Callithrix jacchus: one gene and its partners. The protein of the gene in region 1 binds, or shares a complex with, the protein of each later gene. Links are inferred from orthologs where the notes say so. Each region holds a gene or a part of one and is shown on either strand. Other genes may lie near its edges.

Evidence for each region.
Region 2: CASK (region 1) and LIN7C share a complex: the UniProt entries of both Homo sapiens proteins name them as parts of the brain-specific heterotrimeric complex. The link is inferred for Callithrix jacchus from reciprocal best matches to the Homo sapiens genes CASK and LIN7C.
Region 3: CASK (region 1) and LIN7A share a complex: the UniProt entries of both Homo sapiens proteins name them as parts of the brain-specific heterotrimeric complex. The link is inferred for Callithrix jacchus from reciprocal best matches to the Homo sapiens genes CASK and LIN7A.
Region 4: the proteins of CASK (region 1) and DLG1 are in contact, whole or in part, in an NMR structure (PDB 1RSO), measured with the Rattus norvegicus proteins. The link is inferred for Callithrix jacchus from reciprocal best matches to the Homo sapiens genes CASK and DLG1. Residues at the interface, in XP_038955489.1 of Rattus norvegicus: Gly339, Ala342, Ala343, Arg345, Ala346, Val347, Gln349, Val350, Ser353, Leu354, Glu356, Ile357, Leu360, Thr361, Asp367, Leu368, Phe370, Leu371, Ser373, Val374, Phe375, Asp377, His379, Leu380, Thr382, Leu383, Leu384, Asp385, Leu386, Tyr387; in NP_036920.2 of Rattus norvegicus: Arg4, Asp7, Thr8, Arg10, Ala11, Leu12, Leu14, Leu15, Tyr18, Lys21, Leu22, Glu26, Asp27, Leu30, Ser33, Ile34, Arg36, Val37, Ser39, Ile40, Phe41, Ser43, Leu45, Phe46, Leu49, Ile50, Gln53, Glu57, Val58, Leu60.
Region 5: the proteins of CASK (region 1) and LIN7B are in contact, whole or in part, in an NMR structure (PDB 1Y74), measured with the Mus musculus proteins. The link is inferred for Callithrix jacchus from reciprocal best matches to the Homo sapiens genes CASK and LIN7B. Residues at the interface, in NP_001271432.1 of Mus musculus: Ala405, Arg408, Ala409, Glu411, Val412, Glu415, Ile416, Tyr419, Glu421, Asn422, Asp424, Ala425, Glu427, Leu428, Ile431, Leu432, Gln434, Phe437, Ala439, Leu440, Leu441, Thr443, His444, Val447, Ala448; in NP_035828.1 of Mus musculus: Leu10, Asp13, Val14, Arg16, Ala17, Leu20, Leu21, Arg23, Leu24, Ser27, Glu29, Leu30, Pro31, Pro32, Lys34, Leu35, Ala37, Leu38, Val41, Leu42, Ser44, Phe46, Cys47, Ile50, Arg51, Tyr54.

Annotation. Positions count from the first base shown.
Region 1 is NC_133524.1:42,389,229-42,392,738, forward strand, and holds part of CASK (peripheral plasma membrane protein CASK), read right to left. Parts: intron 1,731-3,510; coding exon 1,662-1,730; intron 266-1,661; coding exon 230-265; intron 1-229. UniProt on the Homo sapiens protein: Multidomain scaffolding Mg(2+)-independent protein kinase that catalyzes the phosphotransfer from ATP to proteins such as NRXN1, and plays a role in synaptic transmembrane protein anchoring and ion channel trafficking.
Region 2 is NC_133511.1:92,876,917-92,881,184, reverse strand, and holds the start of LIN7C (protein lin-7 homolog C), read left to right. Parts: upstream 1-1,461; 5' UTR 1,462-1,476; coding exon 1,477-1,513; intron 1,514-4,268. UniProt on the Homo sapiens protein: Plays a role in establishing and maintaining the asymmetric distribution of channels and receptors at the plasma membrane of polarized cells.
Region 3 is NC_133510.1:83,659,260-83,663,437, forward strand, and holds the start of LIN7A (protein lin-7 homolog A), read right to left. Parts: upstream 2,805-4,178; 5' UTR 2,718-2,804; exon of another isoform or gene 2,573-2,717; 5' UTR 2,564-2,572; coding exon 2,482-2,563; intron 1,479-2,481; exon of another isoform or gene 1,413-1,478; intron 1-1,412. UniProt on the Homo sapiens protein: Plays a role in establishing and maintaining the asymmetric distribution of channels and receptors at the plasma membrane of polarized cells.
Region 4 is NC_133516.1:24,799,154-24,803,114, reverse strand, and holds the start of DLG1 (disks large homolog 1), read right to left. Parts: upstream 2,809-3,961; 5' UTR 2,728-2,808; intron 1-2,727. UniProt on the Homo sapiens protein: Essential multidomain scaffolding protein required for normal development. Recruits channels, receptors and signaling molecules to discrete plasma membrane domains in polarized cells.
Region 5 is NC_133523.1:42,926,083-42,930,173, reverse strand, and holds the start of LIN7B (protein lin-7 homolog B), read right to left. Parts: upstream 2,809-4,091; 5' UTR 2,774-2,808; coding exon 2,737-2,773; intron 2,349-2,736; coding exon 2,230-2,348; intron 1,936-2,229; coding exon 1,864-1,935; intron 806-1,863; coding exon 596-805; intron 1-595. UniProt on the Homo sapiens protein: Plays a role in establishing and maintaining the asymmetric distribution of channels and receptors at the plasma membrane of polarized cells.

The DNA of each region.
Region 1 (3,510 bases):
TAAAATTATCAGGTTGAAATTACAATAACCATCACAGCTACAAAGATGTGAGGAAAAATTCTTCATAAAGAATTAGTCATGTGTAATGTGTTAAAATGAAATGGTACAAGCTCTCAATGCTCAAATGTTATGGTCCAAAATGCAGACATTATGGGATGGAAAGGGTTAATAAAGGATTGGCTATTAGCAGCTTAGTTTAGAGAAGTTTCTATAGAGGATATCTATTCACCTGTCGTCCTTTTGGTTGGGTAGTTGATGGCAAGTCCTGTAGAATAAAGCCAACCCAGGAGAAAAATTTTCATTTACTTTTCAAGAGTACAAAGTAATTTGTGTGTTCTGTTACAATATGGTTAAAAAATGAGCTAGATTTAAGTTGTAAAGAGATAATATACATTATTCCATTTCTCAGAAATGTTGAGTTATCAAAAAAATCAAACCCAGGCCATTTAGCAGCAAGCTGAAGAAAGCAGGTAAGTTTAAGCAGAGAGAAAATGTGTTCTTAAGAAACAACTCAGCATCTTCAACACAAAAGCCACTGCAAGTTAAATAGCCTATTAAAAAAACCCCAAAATAAAAGGAGCTGTTGCCCTTTTCAACTTAGTCACTGCAACCATTTAGATTTTGAAAAATTCAATGGCTATATGGCTTTTCACCATCTTAAAAGTATTAAATGTTAACTGTTACAAATGAATTCCTTTGGTAGCCTATTTTAAAGTTGAAAATAAAGTCATAGACAATTTTCTTTCATAATTTCTCTTACTGATATACTTAGAATATCATTCCATTTGAGATGATCTCTAAATTATTTACAATTTTACCTGATAAAAAAGTTGATATATTCTCAAAGGGCAAATTAAAAGTCAAGATAGAAGAATACTGCTGCATTATTAGAACTCTCAATAATTTTAACTAGGTGATAAACAGCAGTATTAGCAACCAAAATATTGCCAACCTGCACCTGTTAAGTGCTTCCATTTGTTTAAATAAGTGAAAAACAATTCTTTCTATATTCCAAAATGGATAGTTCTGAAAAAATTTAAAACTCCATGTTCAAGTCCAATATAAAGTACTTTGTGTTAAAGATGTGATAACAGCGTGGCTTAAGTGCAGTTTGAAGCCAGTTCTTTTTGCTTTTCATATCCAGGCAAGGCTTATAATTCACAAAAATATGTGCACGTACCACAATAACAGAGGGCACACCAATTCGTAAACTTAGATAGCGGAAACTATAACATGTTGCTGATATCACTCAGAGTAGAAAACTACAAAGCCCAAGAATACCCAAATGCCTACTCTAAAAAATTCTTACATTTATCTTTTTCAAAATAAAAAATATTTAGAAGTTTAAACAAATTTCCATTTACATCCTTTGCATAGGTTTGAGGAAAGTCATACATATGAGTGGGGTGGCATAGAAATATTTTTAGAATGACCAAAGCAGTTTTGAACTACATTTCCTCAAATTTAACTACTGAAGGGGCTTTTTAATGAGAAGGAAGTGTTGAAAAAGATTTTCCAGGAGTAAAGTGCATTGTAGCTGTAGTAGCCTTGTATATCAGCAGAAGACACTATTTCCACTGAACACATGTAACTAGAACACTCATGGCAGGTGAGCACCAACAAAATTGTCACACTTTGTTGTGTGGAGCTAAAGTTCTTACCGAAACAGAATTGTTAGTGCTGCTATGACCATTAGCTGGGGACTGTCTGGAAGTGGAGGGGGAATCTCTCTGAAATAAGACACAAGGTTCATTAACACAGAACACCAGCACAGAAACACAGAGATATTTATATCAACAGTTACAACCACAGTCTGACAACCATTTCCTTTGAGGTTTGAGCAGTATAAGTGCCATACTGACTTGCTTGCATGATTTCACAGAAGTATGAAAAAAATTTTGCAGTTCGAAGATTCACATATTGTAAGTGATGACTGTGTCATTCATTAATCAATTCTTTCCTATCTCTAACATTGTATAACCTTTTCTTTCTTTTAATGAGACCCAGAAGAGTGACTTGATATTAAAACCCTGTCAAGTATAAGATGACAAAATATTACTATAAAGTTTTTGTGCCGAAGATCCCAAGTGTCTAATTTTTATTAAAAATTAGGTTTGAAAAATATTTAATAATTTTTAGTACCTCACTGTCAAGAATTACTGACTCGGCCGGGCGCGGTGGCTCAAGCCTGTAATCCCAGCACTTTGGGAGGTCGAGGCGGGTGGATCACGAGGTCAGGAGATCGAGACCATCCTGGTCAACATGGTGAAACCCCGTCTCTACTAAAAAATATACAAAAAATTAGCTGGGCATGGTGGCGCGTGCCTGTAATCCCAGCTACTCAGGAGGCTGAGGCAGGAGAATTGCCTGAACCCAGGAGGCGGAGGTTGCCGTGAGCCGAGATCACGCCATTGCACTCCAGCCTGGGTAACAAGCGCGAAACTCCGTCCCCCCCCCAAAAAAAAAAGAAGAGAAACAAACCTAAGATTTCACATGTTATAACCACCTCAGAATCTTTCTATTATAGAATAAATATTATTACTAGTAAGGGTAAAAGAGATACACATCAGAGAAGAAATTTTTTTAAGATCATTTTAGTAATTTATTAAAACAATAGTCTCAAGCTTAAAACAATATTACACTTCCAGCAAAGATCCTAGGAGCCACAGCCACTCTTTCTATATCCAGGCTCCTCCATCGCTTGCTCTCTCTACTATTCTACACACTCAAAATATTTTCCAGGCTCCATTTCCTGACTGTCCAAATCAACTTTAACGATAAGAACAAGGAAAGGAAGGAAATAAGTACTTTTTAATTTTTGCTTTTGTAGAGTTCTTTTAAGCCTTAGAAATGTACATGTCTCTTTAAAAGACATTTTTTTTTTCCCTAGATGATTTAAGAGCATTTCTATAACCTGTCAGCCTTAAAGGTAATGAGATCCCTTAGAAGAGCATTCTCATATGTTAGTGAGCAAGGCTGATCTCCAGGTGCCACCCACAGAGACTCAAGTCAGTAGGGCCAGGGGTCTACTCTTTAACCAAGGGCCTCGGAGATGCAGTTGCAGGTGGTCAGAGAGCCTTCTTTGTTTGTTTGTTTTTTTTTGCAAGTGTTGCCCTAGCTGGGAAGAGTCCAACCACAAGCTTGAATTCTCCCGGGGAACAGGAGGGCCAAAAAGGGTAGAGGTGGAGCTAGAAGACAAGTATTATTTTTTCTACTATTCAAAGGCAAAGAAGGTAAGAGGGATTCTTCTTACTCAAGAACATAGAATTTACATGCATGATACTGGTTCCACCCCAAACTACTTCAACCACTTAAAAAACAAAAGAAAAACTTATGTTATATTAATAACTAACAGTACCTTCTGGTTAGCCAAAAAGACAAAAATCAATTGTATTTACTACATTTCTTCAACAGATGAGAAATGGTATGAGGACATCTGTAATTCTAGAACATTAAAATTATTTACATAAAATGTTAAGTGTGACATTCTTTGTTTCTCAGCAACATTTA
Region 2 (4,268 bases), on another chromosome or scaffold:
TTCCACACAAGAACAACATAAATGAAGATTTGGGGCCCGGTGCAGTGGCCCACACCTGTAATCCCAGCACTTTGGGAGGCCTAAGCAGGAGGACTGCTTGAGCTCAGGAGTTCAAGACCAGCCTGGGCAACACATCAAGACCCCCATCTCTACTAAAAATTTTAAAATTAGCCAGGCATGGTGGTGCTTGCCTGTAGTCCCCACTAGGGGCAAGGCTGAGATAGGAGGCTGTCTTGAGCCCAAGTTTAGTGAGCAATGATCGCAACACTGCACTCCAGTCTGGGCAACGGAGAGAAACAATGTCTCTAAAACAAACATAAAGACTTAGAACGAGGAACAAACATGACTGAAAATATACCACCTGGACTGAAGTGGTGGTTGCACCTAGAGGTAATGAGAAAGGTTAGTTGGATGAGTTAGGGTCAGAGTATGCAAGGCTTTAGAAATAGGTAACAGGAGAGAAACTATTGAAAGTTTCTGAACGAACTTGTGATGATGAAATCAGAATTCCAGGGGAGAAAAAGGAGCATAGTAGTGGCATTCATGATGGATTTGGAAAAGAAAAATACTAAAGGTGAATGGAAAGGGTGGACCAGGGGCAACTAGTTATTAAAACAGTCCTATCATGAAGTGTTGAAATGTTGGATGTAAACACATCTACCACAGTATCAGCACAGACTAAGGGCTTGGGTAAATGTTAGTCAAATGCAAATACAAAAACTTTTCTTGGTTCATGAAATTTTCAGAATTGGCTCAAAGAATCTGTAATGCACTGAGAATTTACTATTTGCTTCAAAATATTTCATTTACTTAAGATTTTATAAGAATCACCTGCTTATAAAATTGTTACTTTGTGGTACACCCAAAGCACCTTGTTTTCTCCCTCACCCAGATATGTTTCATGCTCTTTGTACTTTTCACCCTTAAACAGATTTGGAGGGAAGATTCAAGAGGTGGGTTTTTAAATTTAAAGCAACGCTGTCACAAATTGAGAACTGACAACATGTCATTACACACTTAATTGCCACCGAATCTCAGAGTTTAAAAATTGAAAGCACCTAAGTGATAGGACCTCTCGTTGTACAGATGCGAAAACTGAGGCCGAGAGAGGGTAAATGAACAGTCCCGGGTCAAAGAGCTAATGATCAAGGTGGGACTAGAATCGACTACTTGACTCCTCTGCGTGGAGCCAAGGATCCGAAGCGGTTAGGATAAGGGAAACCCAAGGGAGAGAACAGAGTCAGGAAAGCAGCTCTTTCCAACCCTAGGAGGCCGCGGAAGGTGCAGAGCCAAGCCAAACTCAAAAGCCGCCAAGTCCAAGTACCCTTACCCTGATGGCGGCTACGAAACCACCGGCCAACCTCCCGATCTCGCGATACTGACAGGCGCTCACTTCTCCGGCTTCCGGCGGGCCCCGCCTCTCCACCGCAGCCTTTCTGTCGTCATTTCCTGTGGGTCTGTAGGCTAAGGGAGAAGATGGCGGCGCTAGGGGAACCCGTGCGGCTGGAGAGGGGTGAGTGCAGCCGAAGCTCGGCGGAGGTGGGCGGAAGGGTTGAAGGAGTCCTAGGTCGCTGGAGGGGTGGAGGGGTGACCCAGGCTTTGAGATCCGGAGCCAGGCTGTCCCTTGCGCTGGCGCTAGAGGCCGCCGATGTCTCTGTGCCTGGCTGTAGGAAGGACGCTTACGGTCTTTCAGCTGATACTCAAAGCCCTCTTCTGTTAACACGGGCTGTCCCGGGGCACAGCACAACTAAATATAACCTGCTAGCTTCGCAGACACACGCCGCACACGCGCTCCCTTGGTGGGTACAGCATAAGCAGCATTCGGAGACCCGTTTACCCGAAAAGCAAACGTCACACACCCAGTTCGTACAGACTACGTTCATTGCCTGTACAACACGAAGACGGACACACGGTCCAATTCAACAGAACCTCCCTTCCCCCTTGTTTACACGCAAACTTCTTCATTACTTTTCCCACAACCCCACTTGTATTTGGGTTGGGGTATTTGCTAGCTTTTGTGCCCCTCCCAGAAATGGAGAGGTTGCTTTAAAAACAATCCTACTGACTTGGTCTTGGGAAAAAGGTTACATAAGTAAGCAGAATAGTGGTAGATGCTAAAACACTTGCAGGTGTAAGGTTTTCAATTTCTTACAAACCCACAGTTGCAAAACTGGTTGGTTGATTCTTCCCTAGAGCAGACTGTCAAGGAAAATAAAACCTCCTCTGCTGAGTAATTAGAGATAGAGAAGACTGAAAATAGCTGGCTATGCGCCTACCAGATTTCCAGCATTCCAGCGTTTCCAGTCCTGTTACGGATTTCCAGCCTTCCACTCTGTCCCTAAATCCTTTATTTCAAACAATTTTAAGCATGCTTTTCATACACCATCATTAGAAGTCATTGATAGGAGTTAAGAAGCATGAGTAAATATTTTGAGTTCTGGTGGTAAAAAAAAGAAAGTGTAGAATAGAGACTAAAATTATATTGCACATATTAACATTTGCAGTTACAGTCTGAGTATTACTATTGTTCCCTAAGAAAACACATTTTTAGAATTACTGTACTTAGAAAAACCTCTTTCCTAATGCCTCCCCACAAACAAAGGTGCACTTAGTATCGCTGATTTGTTCTTTATAGTGTTCACCATTTGGAAGCCTCCTAGTAAATGAGATTCTTTCCCTTAAGCCTATTAAAACGTCATTTTAGACAGGACTAGCTACTCTGGGAACACTTGCCGAGTTAGGCCTAAGACTGACATCTTTCTCTTGAGCACAATGGCATTGTGTTTCCTAGATGGGAGCAAATCTGTTTGGTGTTAACAGAAGTAGGAGTTTTTCTTTGAAAAGCTAGTTGTAAGATTCTAACATATTGGTGGTCTTACTCCCAGAGGCAGAGTGTCGCCCTGTCGAAGAGACTGGAATGCAGTGGCGCAATCTCACTCGCTACTGCCTTCACCTCCCGGGTTCAAGCAATTCGGCCTCAGCCTCCCGAGTAGCTGGGACTACAGGCACACTCTGCCACGCTTGGCTATTTTTTGTATTTTAGTAGAGACGGGGTTTCACCATGTTGCCCAGGCTGGTCTCGAACTCCTGAGCTCAGGCTATCCACCTGCCTTGGCCTCCCAAAGTGCTAGGACTACAGGCATGAGCCACCGCACCCAGCCGGTTTTCTGTGTTGTTAAATGCAGCACAAAATGTGTAACTCCTGTGGCAATTAGTTTTGATAGTCATGGCTTTGCTTTGTGCTGTTACAGGCTTGTTTTCCTTTTCCATTCTTCAGTAAAGTCTCAGCCCCTTAGAGGGATGAATAACAGTCAACCCTCCATATCCATGGGTTCCACGTACATGAATTCAACCAACTACAGTTTGAAAATACTTAGAGAAAAAAATCCTGTCTATAGAATGTGTACATTTTTATCTTGTCCTTATTACCTAAACAATGTGGTAATATGGTATGGCCTGGAGCGGTGGCTCACACCTATAATCCCAGCTCTTTGGGAGGCTGAGGTAGGTGGATCATGAGGTCAATGGATCACGAGGTCAGGTGTTCAAGACCAGCCTGGTCAAGATGGTGAAACCCCTTATCAACTAAAAATACAAAAACTAGCCAGGTATGGTAGCAGTCACCTGTAGTCTCAGCTTCTTGGGAGGCTGAGGTTGCAGTAAGTAAATATCTTGCCACTGCACTCCAGCCTGGGCAACAAAGCAAGACTCCATCTCAAAATGACAACAACGACAAAAATAATGTGATATAACTATTAACATAGCATCAGATATTGTAAGTAATCTAGAGATGATTTAAAGTATGGAGCAGGAATATGCATAGGTTATATGCAAATACTACATTTTATATCAGAGACTTGAGCATCTGCAGACTTTGATATCTGTGATATCCGAAGAAGGTCCTAACAAACCCTCCACGGTTATCGAGACAGCTGTACTAGTAGTTGCCATTTAGCAGGGGAAAAAGATTACATCAGCTCTGATTCTTTCTTAGAATTCTAACAGACTCTATTAGCAAACACTCCCAACAGTTCTACAGTAGAAAATCCTATAGTACAGTTACAGTTCAGTACCTGATCACATATGATGATTTAGAATCCCTTCTAAATCATCAAAATATTATTTTAATGAAACACAAATTTGAGCACGTATTAGGTACAGTTTAGATTTAGTCAAAAGCATTTTACGTTTTTCCGTTTTTTTGTTAATTGGAAATTTTTATATGGCTTAACATATTATAACTTTATAAATAAAAATGATTGATGAAC
Region 3 (4,178 bases), on another chromosome or scaffold:
TTAGAAATGGTCTCTTCCCTCAAGGAGTTCCATCCGATAGGGAGAGAAATGCAACAGAGTATGATAAATGCTTTAATGGGGCCAAAGCAGCAAGTCAATTTAGAGCACATCAAAGGGTACCAAAGCAGCCTGGGAGAGAGGTGATCTGGAAAATCTCCCAGTAGGTGACCAAAAACTGAGTCTTAAGTCTAATTAATTGAATTATAGACTGCTAAAGCTGCAAAGTGTTAGAGTCATCTAATTCAAACTCCCGATGTGGCACAGAGAGAAACTCATGTGCTATGAGGCTGGTGTATTGAGAGTGAATATCAGAGTTGAAACTAGGACCCAGATATGTAATACTGGGCTGCATCTTTTAAAATGCACCTTTTTTGAAGAGAAATTTTCAGAATGTTTTCTTTCATCAGTTTAATCATGAAGGTAACCTATTAATGACTCATTTTAATAAGGTACAGAGAACAATATTTTATATATTGACTTTATGCTCAGTGGTGATGCCAATAACCCATCATCTCTTGGTTATAGATTTTGTGTGAGCTGCTGGTGAATTTTTCGGACCCATCCACAGGCTAATGCTGCTTGCCTCCTGAACTACTGCATGGACGTAATCACACTAAGGACAAGTAGAGTTTGGCCATGAGCAAGAACAAACTTTAAAAATAAATCTTAGTCCAATTAGCACCTCCTCTCAATAACTGACTGAGGCATCTAAGAGCTAAGGTAAAACCCAAACATTGAAATATTTTTAGTAGTAGTAGCAGTATATAAAATGACTCAGGTATGCAATCTTCTCGGAGTTTTGCTCCTAACGTAGTCACTTGATTTGGGATGTTTAACGACTGTGATTTTGTAATGGGACAATATAAGAGCTCATCACATTAAAACATAAATACTTGGGAAGTCCATAGTTTCTGATAGCTTGCCATCTGTTTGGTTCTTACTGGCAATGGATTTATCCTGCTTAGTGCAGATGATGATATTGTGGGTAAAATCATGGATTATACAACGGGTTTCTGAGGCCTTTAACTACTGTTATTAATTTTGCCAGCTTGCAAATCAACATTTTCTAATACAAAATCAATTACATTTTATTTTTCAACTCTTACTCTAAGAAAGGTTGCTATGGGCACCACATAGCATCTGTTCTGGCGCCAACAGATTGCGTTAAAGTCACCCACAGCCTCTCCAAATTAAAAACCTCAAACTGAGTTCACTGGCTTTGTCACTGTACTCCCAGCAGGATGCTCTTTTGCCTTGCCCCACCGTTCAGTTTAATCCTCTAGAAAGAAAATTTTTGGAGGTACATCGGACTAAATCATTTTCGTCTGACCACACCATTTCCAAATGGCCGCCCAGGGTCCTAAATCCGGCGGCTACGGAGAGGGACTAGCGGGTGTCCTCTGTAAAGCCCTGGGACTCCAGCGCCTTCATCACTGGACGTTGGAAGCCGGGAAGGAAACCCACACACTCAGAGACAGGTATAACCCCGCACGGGTGCACCAGCGAGGCCCGGATCACAGCAGAGGACTCCATCCCTGAGCTTGTGGCGGGGGGTGGGTCCTGGGGACGAAACCAACACTTTCCCCATTGAAGTCAGAGAGTGGGACGTACTGGGTCGCAGGTCAGAAGTTGAAATTTAACCCGACGAGCGCTGTGCCCCCGCGCCTTCCGCAGTAGCCCGGGCGCCGCGGTGACGCGGAGCTGGGAAAGGACGAGAGAGGCTGGCGCGGGAGAAGCTGAGAGTTGCCACAGACCGGGAGCTGCCGGCGGCCGGAACAGGCGCGACCCTCGCCGCTTTCGAACGCGAAGCCCGGGAGAGCCGGGCTCGGCTGCTGAGGCTCAACTGCCAGGGCTCGGCTCCCCGCGCTCTGCGTTGCCCTTAGGGCGGAGGGCAGCTCCCCGCCTGAGGCGGCTCCGCCGCCTTGCGTCCGGCCGCCCCGGGGTGCGCCCTGCCAGCCCCCCGAGAGGCCTCCCGGACTCCCGCAGGAGAACCGACCCTCGCCCTCCGGCGCCAGGACAAACTTCCTTCCTTCCGGGCCCCTGCGCCGCGCAGGCTGGCAAGCGGCTCACTAGCCGGTCTCCTCTGGGCTCGCTCCGGCCGGCGAGCTTGCTCCGTGCCTCTCTCCAACCCCGAGCCCCGGGCGCCTAGCAGTCCCCGCGCGGCCGGTCCAACAAAGCCAGGGGCCCGGAGGCGACCCGGCGAGGGGCTGGGAGTGGCTGCGGGGACCCCAGAGCCCGCAGGAGGCGTCCCCTCGGCGGGGCGAGTCCAGTGTGAAGGGGCGGCGGGGACGTGGCGGGGAGAAAAGGGGAAGAAAGTGTCCTGCTCCCGGCGCAAACGCCTTCCAGGCTCGCCCTGGCTCCCCTTCTCCCGTGGCCCGAGCGCGTCCCGCGTCCCGGTGGGAATTGGCCTGGGGGGGTCGGCGGGTGGGCGGCGGAGGGGAGAGAGGACATGGTGGCCTGGCGGGCGAACCGCGTCCTTACCTCTGTCCAGGGTGAGCGGCTGGACCACTGTCAATGTCGCCATGTCTGCCGTGGGAGCCGAAGTGACGCTCGGCTTCAGCATCAGCAACCGCTTGTAGTGAGAAAAAAAGGAGGAGATGGATTGGGGGCGGGGGTGGAGAGGGAAGACGGAAAGGAGGGGGAGGAGGGGGAAGGAGGGTGGTGGTGGTGGTGGAGAAGAAAGCTTGGGTGGGTTGGTAGCCAGATGGAGACGCAACTGTTCCGCGGTGGCAGTTCAATTGCGGCGCGGAGCTGAGCAGGTATCCGAGAGCGACTGCGTCGCCGGGCTCCGGAGAGAAGGCTCTGCCCTAGAACTTTGCTATTCCACCCCCAGGAGCGCTGGGTGGGTGTAGCTGGCGGGCTGCTCTCTTTCAACTTTCCCCTCTAATAAAATGGTCAGAATATACGTGTGTGTGTGTGTGTGTGTGTGTGTGTGTGCGCGCGCGCGCGCGCGCTTCTGTGTGTCGGGGAAGAGAGAGGATGGAAAGGGGATATGGGGGAGGGAGTAGGAGATGAGTTTTCTCAGATTAAGAGAAATCGTCAATACAATAATCCCATCCCCTTTAGAGAGAAAATGCTTCTACTGTCAGAAATGTTTGGGATGTAATTACACTTGCAGTTAATTTCTGTTGAAGTTTTTTTTGAACGTTGACTTATAACTGTATATAAAGATAACTGACTTAAGGCGAGCGTTCCATCCATAGATGTTCATTTAGGACCTGAGTATATTCCTGGTGAATAAAATCAAAAAAGGCAAACCTCTTAAAAGTGTTTCAAAATAAAAAAAAATGTAGGTAAGTTTCTCTCACTACATTTTCTTTTTTTTTTTCAAGCCACTGTTAATACTTTACCAGTTCAGTAAATGTAACCCAAAAATAAGTAGGATGTTCAGATTTTCTCCGAATTTTTTTACATACCACACCTCATAAACATGCCCTGCTCTCCTCCCTCCCTCCACCCAACAACAAAACTTTGCTCTTAATGACCAAACTGATTTTGGTTTCATATCACTACGTTTGAAAAATATGTACCTATCACTTTTCATGTTGTTTTCTAACCAGTGGTTCAGAGATGCCACTTATTACTTAACATATATACCAGGAATTGAGATAGAAGAGTTACATTACCTTGTGCCACGCCTTGATTTAGGAGTTCAATTTAGTCTCTGATTTCCTGTAGCCTGTAATGCAGTGGGAGATGATGTTATTAAAAGCCTGACTTTAGAGTCAGTTGATCAGGATTCAATTACTAGTGCCTTCAAATACTGGTTGTGACCCCTTCACCCCAAGAAACAGACTACTTTCACTATCTTGTCATTAGGAATTCATTTCCCGATTATGAAATCAACAAACATAAAGAAACCTTCTATAAGCTGAATAGGGGTGACTGTGAGTGCAGGATTGGAAAACACAAAGCTGCCTCCATCTTGTTCCCTGTGGCGGAGTTGAATTGTTAGGGCTAGCAATAAATTCTAAAAGGCAGCTACCGTTTTATAGCAAAATATTTGCATATAATTGATGCCATTTTCTTCTGATTACAGATATGATTTCTGAAGGTCTTTTTCATTTTATAGTCTACAATTGAATTTTAAGGAGCAACATTTCACCAATGATTGGGAAAGTCAAAGATGGTTGCCATATATAGACTTAATACACCCTAAAAACAAACCTAAAATAGTA
Region 4 (3,961 bases), on another chromosome or scaffold:
GCACATTCCTTCATTTCTCTCGCTGAATGAATGTGGAAGACTTTCTAAGGCAGGTCTTGACCTTTCTGGACACATCAGGACATGAGAGTCACAGAACCAGATGAATGCAGTAAATTATAAGCAAACCCGGAAATGCAAAAATATCAGACTAATCAGAATCTCTAATGAATTACTATTTTTTAAAATTCTTTTTAAATTATCGGAAGAACAACACACACATACACTTATATCAGAGGAAATTTAGTAAGTTACTTGTTTTCAAGGAAACTTCCGACGTCAGTACACATTCGTTTATAACGCCCTTATCTTCCTTATCTATAGCCCTGTTCAATAGCAACTGGCACTCAGAATAAGAAATTTGAGACACCACATGATATTACATTTCCCAAGAAAATAATAATGTCTCCTCATTACCAAGGCAATAAATCCTTCTACACCATTTTAGAATATTTATCAGAATAAAGAGTTGAAACAAAAAATGTTTACTGAAAAACTATCCCTTAGCCAAGAGAGGTCTCCCCTAGGCACCATGATGAATTTTGTAAACTTGTATTGAAGAGTTACAAATTTTAGGACCAAGTTAATCATCTAAGTGACTGAGGTCTATAAATCATCCCCCACAACTGAAAAAAAGTTTTCCCTAAATTGTGGTGCTTTAGAAAATGGTGCAAAAGTGAAACTTAGACCACTGTCAAGAGGTTTAATTCCACATGAATTATTATTATTATTATTATTTTTTGAGACAGAGTCTCACTCTGTCACCCAGGCTGGAGTTTAGTGGCAGATCTTGGCTCACTGCAACCTCCGCCTCCTAGGTTCAAGTGATTCTCCTGCCTCTGGAATAGCTGGGATTACAGGCATGTGCCACCACACCTGGCTAATTTTTGTATTTTTAGTAGAGATGATGTTTCGCCATGTTGTCCAGGCTGGTCTCGAACTCCTGATCTGAAGTCATCCGCCTGCCTTGGCCTCCCAAAGTGCTGAGATTATGGACATAAGCCACTGTACCCAGGCTAATTCCACTTGAAATATCAGCTACAATTCGATTAGCTTGTGGGCTCCAAAAATGATTTAAAATTTTAAAGTACAGGCTCAGGCCGGGCATGGTGACTCATGCCTATAATCCTAGTACACTGGGAGGCTGAGGTGAGTGGATCACATGAGGTCAGGAGTTCAAGACCAGTCTGGCCAACATAGTGAAATCCATTCTCTACTAAAAACACAAACATTAGCTAGGCATGGTGGTGCATGCCTGTAGTCCCAGATATTCTGGAGGCTGAAGCAGGAGAATCGCTTGAACCCAGGAGGCAGAGGTCGCAGTGAGCTGAGATCCACCAGTGCACTCCAGCTTGGGTGACAAAGTGAGACCCTCTCTCAACAGCAGCAACAAAAAAAGTACAGGTTCTGCAAAAGCAACCAAATGGCTGTTGTACACATCCTCCAGGAGACGTTGAACCAGAAACCAAAACCAAGAGTGTGACCCTTTAAGTACTTTGAAGGTGACAAAAGTACAACCACTCTCTTCTCTCTATTCACACATCCAGATTCTGTCATGTACATCTTGCTCAGACACAGCTGGAACCAGAGCTGGATGTGACCTGTCCCTCTTTTGAATGCTGAGGTGGGCAAGCATTGGCATGCGACTCCAGCATAGTTGTTCATTCCCTGGTCAGGGTCTGGCCCTTTTTCTAGTGACCTGTATTGTATTCTACTCTGTAATGTAATGATTTATCTACATATTTTATCTCACCTAATAGATTATGAATTTTTGAATGCAAGGACCATGCCTTTGTATCTTCTTTGAAGTAATGCAAAGGAAAACTCACTGTAAATTATGAAATACTTTCATAGGTCTAACTTTCTTCTTTGTAAAATTATTTGCATCTATTAGCACCTAACACATTGCAGATGCCCAATAAAGATATGTCAACTGACATTGAAATCAACAAACATCTCCAATTATTCCCCTCCTGTCACCAGAATCCCACACGGTATCTAGTAGAGTTCAGCCCAGCAAAGAGATCAACTGTCTAAAGGACATTTGTTGGAATAGAGCCCAGCAAGCTGACCTGCCATCCTCAGTTCTCTGCCCATCAAGCACAAATACCGCCATCGCCTCTTTCATTTCATACTCTAGTATTTGGTTGCACACTGTGGTGTCCTGGCAAGCTATCCAGGAGAGCTCCCTCAGGGAAATGTGGATGCCTGACCCTGCACTAAAAAAGTATTTCGGGACTGGCAAGTGGAGGGGTTGCCACAAACCATCCCCACCATTTGGATGTCCGAAAAGTAAGCATCAGCACAACTCTTCTCCCCCAGGTAGCAAGGGAAACAAAACCCATGAAACCAAAGCGGGCAGCTGATTCGGAGGACGGAGCAGGGCTTCTGTTTTTGCCTCGCTATGTCAAACACACAGGAATAAATGCAATAGAAAGACGTTTTGCTTCCCAAATGGAAACTTTGCAAGTCTTTCTAAACTGTTTTTTATCAACTAATCTGTCTTTGAACGATGTTACCTTAAAAAAAAAAATAAGCTTGTTTCAGTAACGTGGAAAAACTAAATAAATCACTTTCTCACTAGGAAATACTTCTCCTGTTTTAAAAACCAAATTCAGGAATTTGACTTTAAGAAAGAAAAAAATGAAATTTCCTAATGGCCATTTTCTGAAATGAATTAATATCTAGAGGCCCACTGGCCACCTGCTCGGAGCCAGTCAGCATTCTTACCCAATCACAGGTGAAGTCAGAAGCACTCGGAGTTTATGATGTACTGGCAATGCTTCGTTTAGAACATTTACCAACTGCTGTATTTTTTTCCACAGAGTCTCACTATTTTGTTATAAAGACTAGAAGAACAGGCCCTTGTTCTCAGGCAAGAAAACACAGAAGCGTCATTTGTTTATTATTTTTAACTACTGTGCATTTTGTGTGCTTTATAGCTTCTTCAATGATTGTTCAATTGTGAGTATATTGGCATGTGATTTGAGGTCAGCTGTTTGCTCCCTGGCTGGTACAACCAATCTATAATCTTGATAGGGAGAAATAAAGTCCAAGCTGCAAATTCTAGGCTGCCAACTAATACTCTCCCTCTCTTCAAATCTGTGTCTATCATGAAAAACATTCTCAAACTGTTTACATTTCACTGAATATTACTTAGAATATATTTTTAAAGGCATCTTTCCTCTTCTTCATTGCTTTAAAAAATGTAGACAGGCAGGCCGGACATGGCGGCTCAAGCCTGTAATCCCAGCACTTTGGGAGGCCAAGGCAGGTGGATCAGGAGGTCAGGAGATCGAGATCATCCTGGCCAACATGGCGAAACCTCATCTGTACTAAAAATATAAAAAAGAAAAAAAATAGCTGGGCATGGTGGTGTGTGCCTGTAGTCCTAGCTACTCAGAAGGCTGAGGCAGGAAATTTGCTTGAACCTGGGAGGCAGAGATTGCAGCGAGCTGAGATCGTGTCACTGCACTGCAGCCTGGCTGGCGACAGAGTGAGACTCTGCCCCTCTCCAAAAAAAAAAAAAAATGCAGAGAGGCAAACAAAAGAAAATGGTCACCAATTCTACCACCCAAAGGTAATCACAATTAATTATATATATTATATATGGAAGATTTGGTGCAAAATCTTCCAGGCTGTTGGAAAGAGGTTTTGTTTGTTTGTTTTATTGCAGGGTTTTCGTTAATAAGCACCAAAAAAAAAAAACTGAAAATAAGTTTTGCTAGAGTTTTAAAGTGATGCTATCTTCTAAAAAAATTTTTGCTAACTAAAACCACATAAATAAGATTTTCTTTCATTGAATGTTTTTCGTTTGCCACCAGTATACATACAGCTCAAGTGGGCCATCAGTCTAGGGGGTGATGGGCATTTTTAAGAAAAATACATGAACTTCTGCTGTTCCAAAGTCCAATACAAGAGTAATCACAAGACTGCTTTAACCGATTCCATTTGTTTCATTTCC
Region 5 (4,091 bases), on another chromosome or scaffold:
TTCACCATGTTGCCCAGGATGGTCTCAAACTCCTGACTTCAGGTGATCCACCCGCTTCGGCCTCTCAAAGTGCTGAGATTACAGGTGTGGGCCACTGCACCCTACCTAACCACAGTGATTTTAATTACCTGTATGCCCAGACCTCCATGAGAACCAAGCCCGTTTCAGCTCAGAGGTATGCCAAGTCAGTATCCTTCTCCACAGCACCTTCAGCAGGAACACCCTCTACCTTGTTTGCCTGGAGAACTCCTACTCATCCTTCAACACCCAACCCAAATGTTCCTTACTCTGCAAAACCTTCCTGCAGCTACACTGGCCGGGTGTCTCATCTGGGCTGTCACAATACTTTGCACTTCCTCATTGTTAGGTCTCTAGATTAGGACTTTTTCAGCCAGGGACTACTGCCCTCCCCACAGAGGGAACGTTGAGTGTAGGAGCTGAGGCCAACATCTCTCAGGGTCTGTAACATTGCCCAGCACAAGGCTAGCCATAGAGGTATCGCTCAGTCAGTGTGTGTTAAATCAATGTCAAAAGCAGGGGCTATGCTACCTTGGACAGACTGTGTCCCCCAGCTCTGCCTCAGCCCCCCACTCACCACACCATTGACGGACAACAGTTGGTCCCCACGCTTGAGGCCTCCATGGCGGTCAGCCACGCCCCCCGGGATGACCCGGGAGATGTAGATGGGCGAGTTCTGCTCTTTGCCACCCATGATGTTGAAGCCCAGGCCCTCATCCGTCTTGGGCAGCTCCACTACCCGGGGATGTGCGTGGCCCTCGCTGGCTGTGAAGGCAGCCACTGTGGCCTGGGAGAGAGAAAGCAGCTGGAGGTGAGACCCCTCCAAAGTGGGCATGAAGGCTGGGGAGGAGAATATGGACCGAGGACAGCGATTTAGCCTGGGTTCTATCCCCAAGCCTGGGACAATTGCCATGACACAATGCAAAATCCCCCTGAAATGTCTGTGCGCCCCTTTCCCTTCACTTTGCAAGAGAATGTGTCCATTTGGTGTGAGTGTGTCTTGAATACCCCACGCTTGCCAATCTTACCTTTTTTTTTTTTGAGATGAAGTCTCGCTCTTTCCCAGGCTGGAGTGCAGTGCCACAATTTCGGCTCACGGCAACCTCTGCCTCCTGGGTTCAAGCGATTCTTCTGTCTCAGCCTCCCGAGTAGCTGGGATTACAGGCATGTACCACCACGCCCAGCTAATTTTTTTGTATTTTTGTAGAGATGGAGTTTCACCATGTTGGCCAGGCTGGTCTTGAACCCCTGACCTCAAGTCAGGACCCACCTCAGCCTCCCAAAGTGCTAGGATTACAGGCATAAGTTACCATGCCTGGCCTCAATCTTACTTTTTTTTTTTAGAGGCAGGGTTTCACCATGTTGGCCAGGCTGGTCTCAAACTCCTGACCTCAGGTGATCCGCCCACCTCAGGCTCCCAAAGTGCTGGGATTACAGGCCTGAGCCGCCGCACCCAGCTCTTCGATCTTACTTTTACACTGAGAAAAGCCAGGCCTGGAGGGAGCTCAGAGCCTCCGGGCAGAAGCAGGCGGCAGCATCTCACTGTGGTGCAGTGGGATGTCAGCTCGCCGTGACTTTCCTGGTTTGCACTGTGCAGATGTTGAAGGTTATCTTCTAGCCCGCCATGCCACACTGGTTTCCATTTGCAGTTGCTAAAAAGATACCTTCGTATGACATTTGTTTTAAGTAAAAATGTGCAACTATTTAATAATAGGAAGGGTGGCACATAGATTTGGCAAAAATCTTGAGGGAAGAAACAGAAATGACTGGCGTGAAGGAGATAACCGAGCTCCACCAGGCAGCTACGCAGATACCAGGAGCAATGGAATGGGGTGAGGGGCCCACCTTGGCTGTGGCATGGGCCCTGATCTCGGCGCTGCCGGTGAGGTCCAGCGTGTCATAGAGCTGCTCATATACCTGGGTGAAGAGGCAGCCGCATCAGGGAGCCGCCAGCCCCTCCGGCCCTAGACACAGAAGTCCGGGCCCCAGACCCTCTCCCGATCCCACGCCAGGATCCGCCCCGCCCCCCGCAATCAGAACCCGAGGAAACTACAACTCCCGAAGAACCCCTGAGCTGAAGAGTGGGCACCCAAGGCGGGCCGCCTCGGGAGCTGCCGGGAGGCGTAGTCCCCGAGCTCGAGGCGAGCAGGAGAAGGAGGAGGAGGAGGACGACGGTCGCCAGCTCGCGCCCCTGCGCCGCGCGCCCCTCACCTCTCGGATAGCGGAGCAGAAGCGGCTCTGCAGGACTCTCTGGAGGGCCTGCAGCTTCTGCGGGGGCAGCTCTCCGCTACGCTGGAGCCGCTCGAGGAGCTCCACTGCCCGGGACACGTCTGCGGGGCGGGGGCGGGGGCGGGGCGCAGAGACCGCGAGTGTCAGAGACCCCGAGACGCAGAGGAGCGAGGAGAGCGGCGGAGTGAGGGCGAGCGCACAGCCCCGGGAGGACGGCCGAAGCCCAGTCGGACGCCCTGCAGAGTCCAGGGTGACGCAGGAGAAACCGCCACCAGCCGGGCGCCTTGCGGCCCCGGGACCGCTCCACAGGCCGGGGTGTAAAGCGGGCGCCCCCCGCCCCGGCCCGCGCCCACGGAGCCTCCCACACCCCCCGACCGCCCGGCCCCGGCGCCCGCCCCGCCCACCCGCGCCGGCCAGGCCCGGGAAGGGAGGGGACCGGGGACTGGGGACGCAGGCCGCGGTGGGCAGGGCCCCCTGGCGCGCGCTTACCCCGCTCCAGCCCCAGCGGCTCCACCAGCGCAGCCATGTCGGCGCCACCGCTGCCAGCCGCCAGCCTGCCCCGGCGCCGGCGAGGGGGGCGGGGCTGCGCGAGGCCACGCCCCGGGCCACGGGCGCCCCCTGCGGAGGCGCAGCCGGGAGAGCGCCCTGCTCCCCCACGCCGGACAGCCCCGACCCGCTGCCGCGCGCCACCCGCAGCCCTGCCCTCCGCCCCGGGCGGTCGGTCCTGTTGGCGGGCCCTCCCATTGCAGGTTCGGTCTGTGTGTCCCTTTCACGATCCCTGTCTGCCTGTCCTCCACACCTGTCTACCCCCTGTCCATCCTTTTCCCACATTCATTCAACAAACTCTTGTGAAACATCTTCTGGGCCCGAGGCATGGACACCGTGGTGAGCAGGACAGCCAAGCCCACAGCCCGAACGGAGCTTCCAGTCTATGGGGGAGGTAGACAGCCAACCACGACTGTGATGAGAGCTGAGTGGGGAGGCGATGATCCAGAAGACGAAGGAAATCCTAGAGGAGGGACTTGACAGAGTCCCGGGAGGTAAGATGAACACCCCCACCACGCAGAAGGAGCCCACGTGGCTGGAAGCAGAGTTGGGATTCCTTGATGATGAGGTGAAAAGGCCGGCAGGATAGTTTATGCCTGGGCTCCTGCGTTGGCATGTGTATTGGGGATTTGGGGCTTCATGCAAACTCCTAAGGGTAAAATATGGCACTCAAATTTGTATTTATATATTTTTGAGACGGAGTTTCACTCTTGTTGCCCAGGCTGGAGTGCAATGGCACCACTCCGTCTTCCGGGTTCAGGCGATTCTCCTGCCTCAGCCTTCGGAGTAGCTGGGATCACAGGCATGCGCCACCAGGCCTGGCTAATTTTGTATTTTTAGTAGAGACGGGGTTTCTCCATGTTGGTCAGGCTGGTCTCAAACTCTACCCGCCTCGGCCTCCCAAAGTGTTGTAGTACAAGCATGAGCCGCCTTGCCCGGTGGATACTGGGTATTTTGAATTTGAGGAGCCTGTGCAGAATCCATGGGGAGAAGCAGTCGATCTACGTCTAGGGCTCAAAAGAGCAACCTGGTCTGCAGGCATCCTTGAGTATTGGGGCAGAGGTGGTAAATGAAACCACAGGAGTGGATAAGAATGTCAGGGGCAAGAGAATATAAAGAGGGCCTAGGACTGGTCCCCAAATCTCTCTAACACTTAAAAGCGGGGGACAGCAGAGAATGACCTGAAATGTAGGAGGAAACCCAGGTGGGAGAAACTATGAAAAGAGAGTTAAAAAAAAAAAAAAAAAAAAAAAAAAAATTTGCCGGGTGCAGTGGCTCAAACCTGTAATCCCAGCACT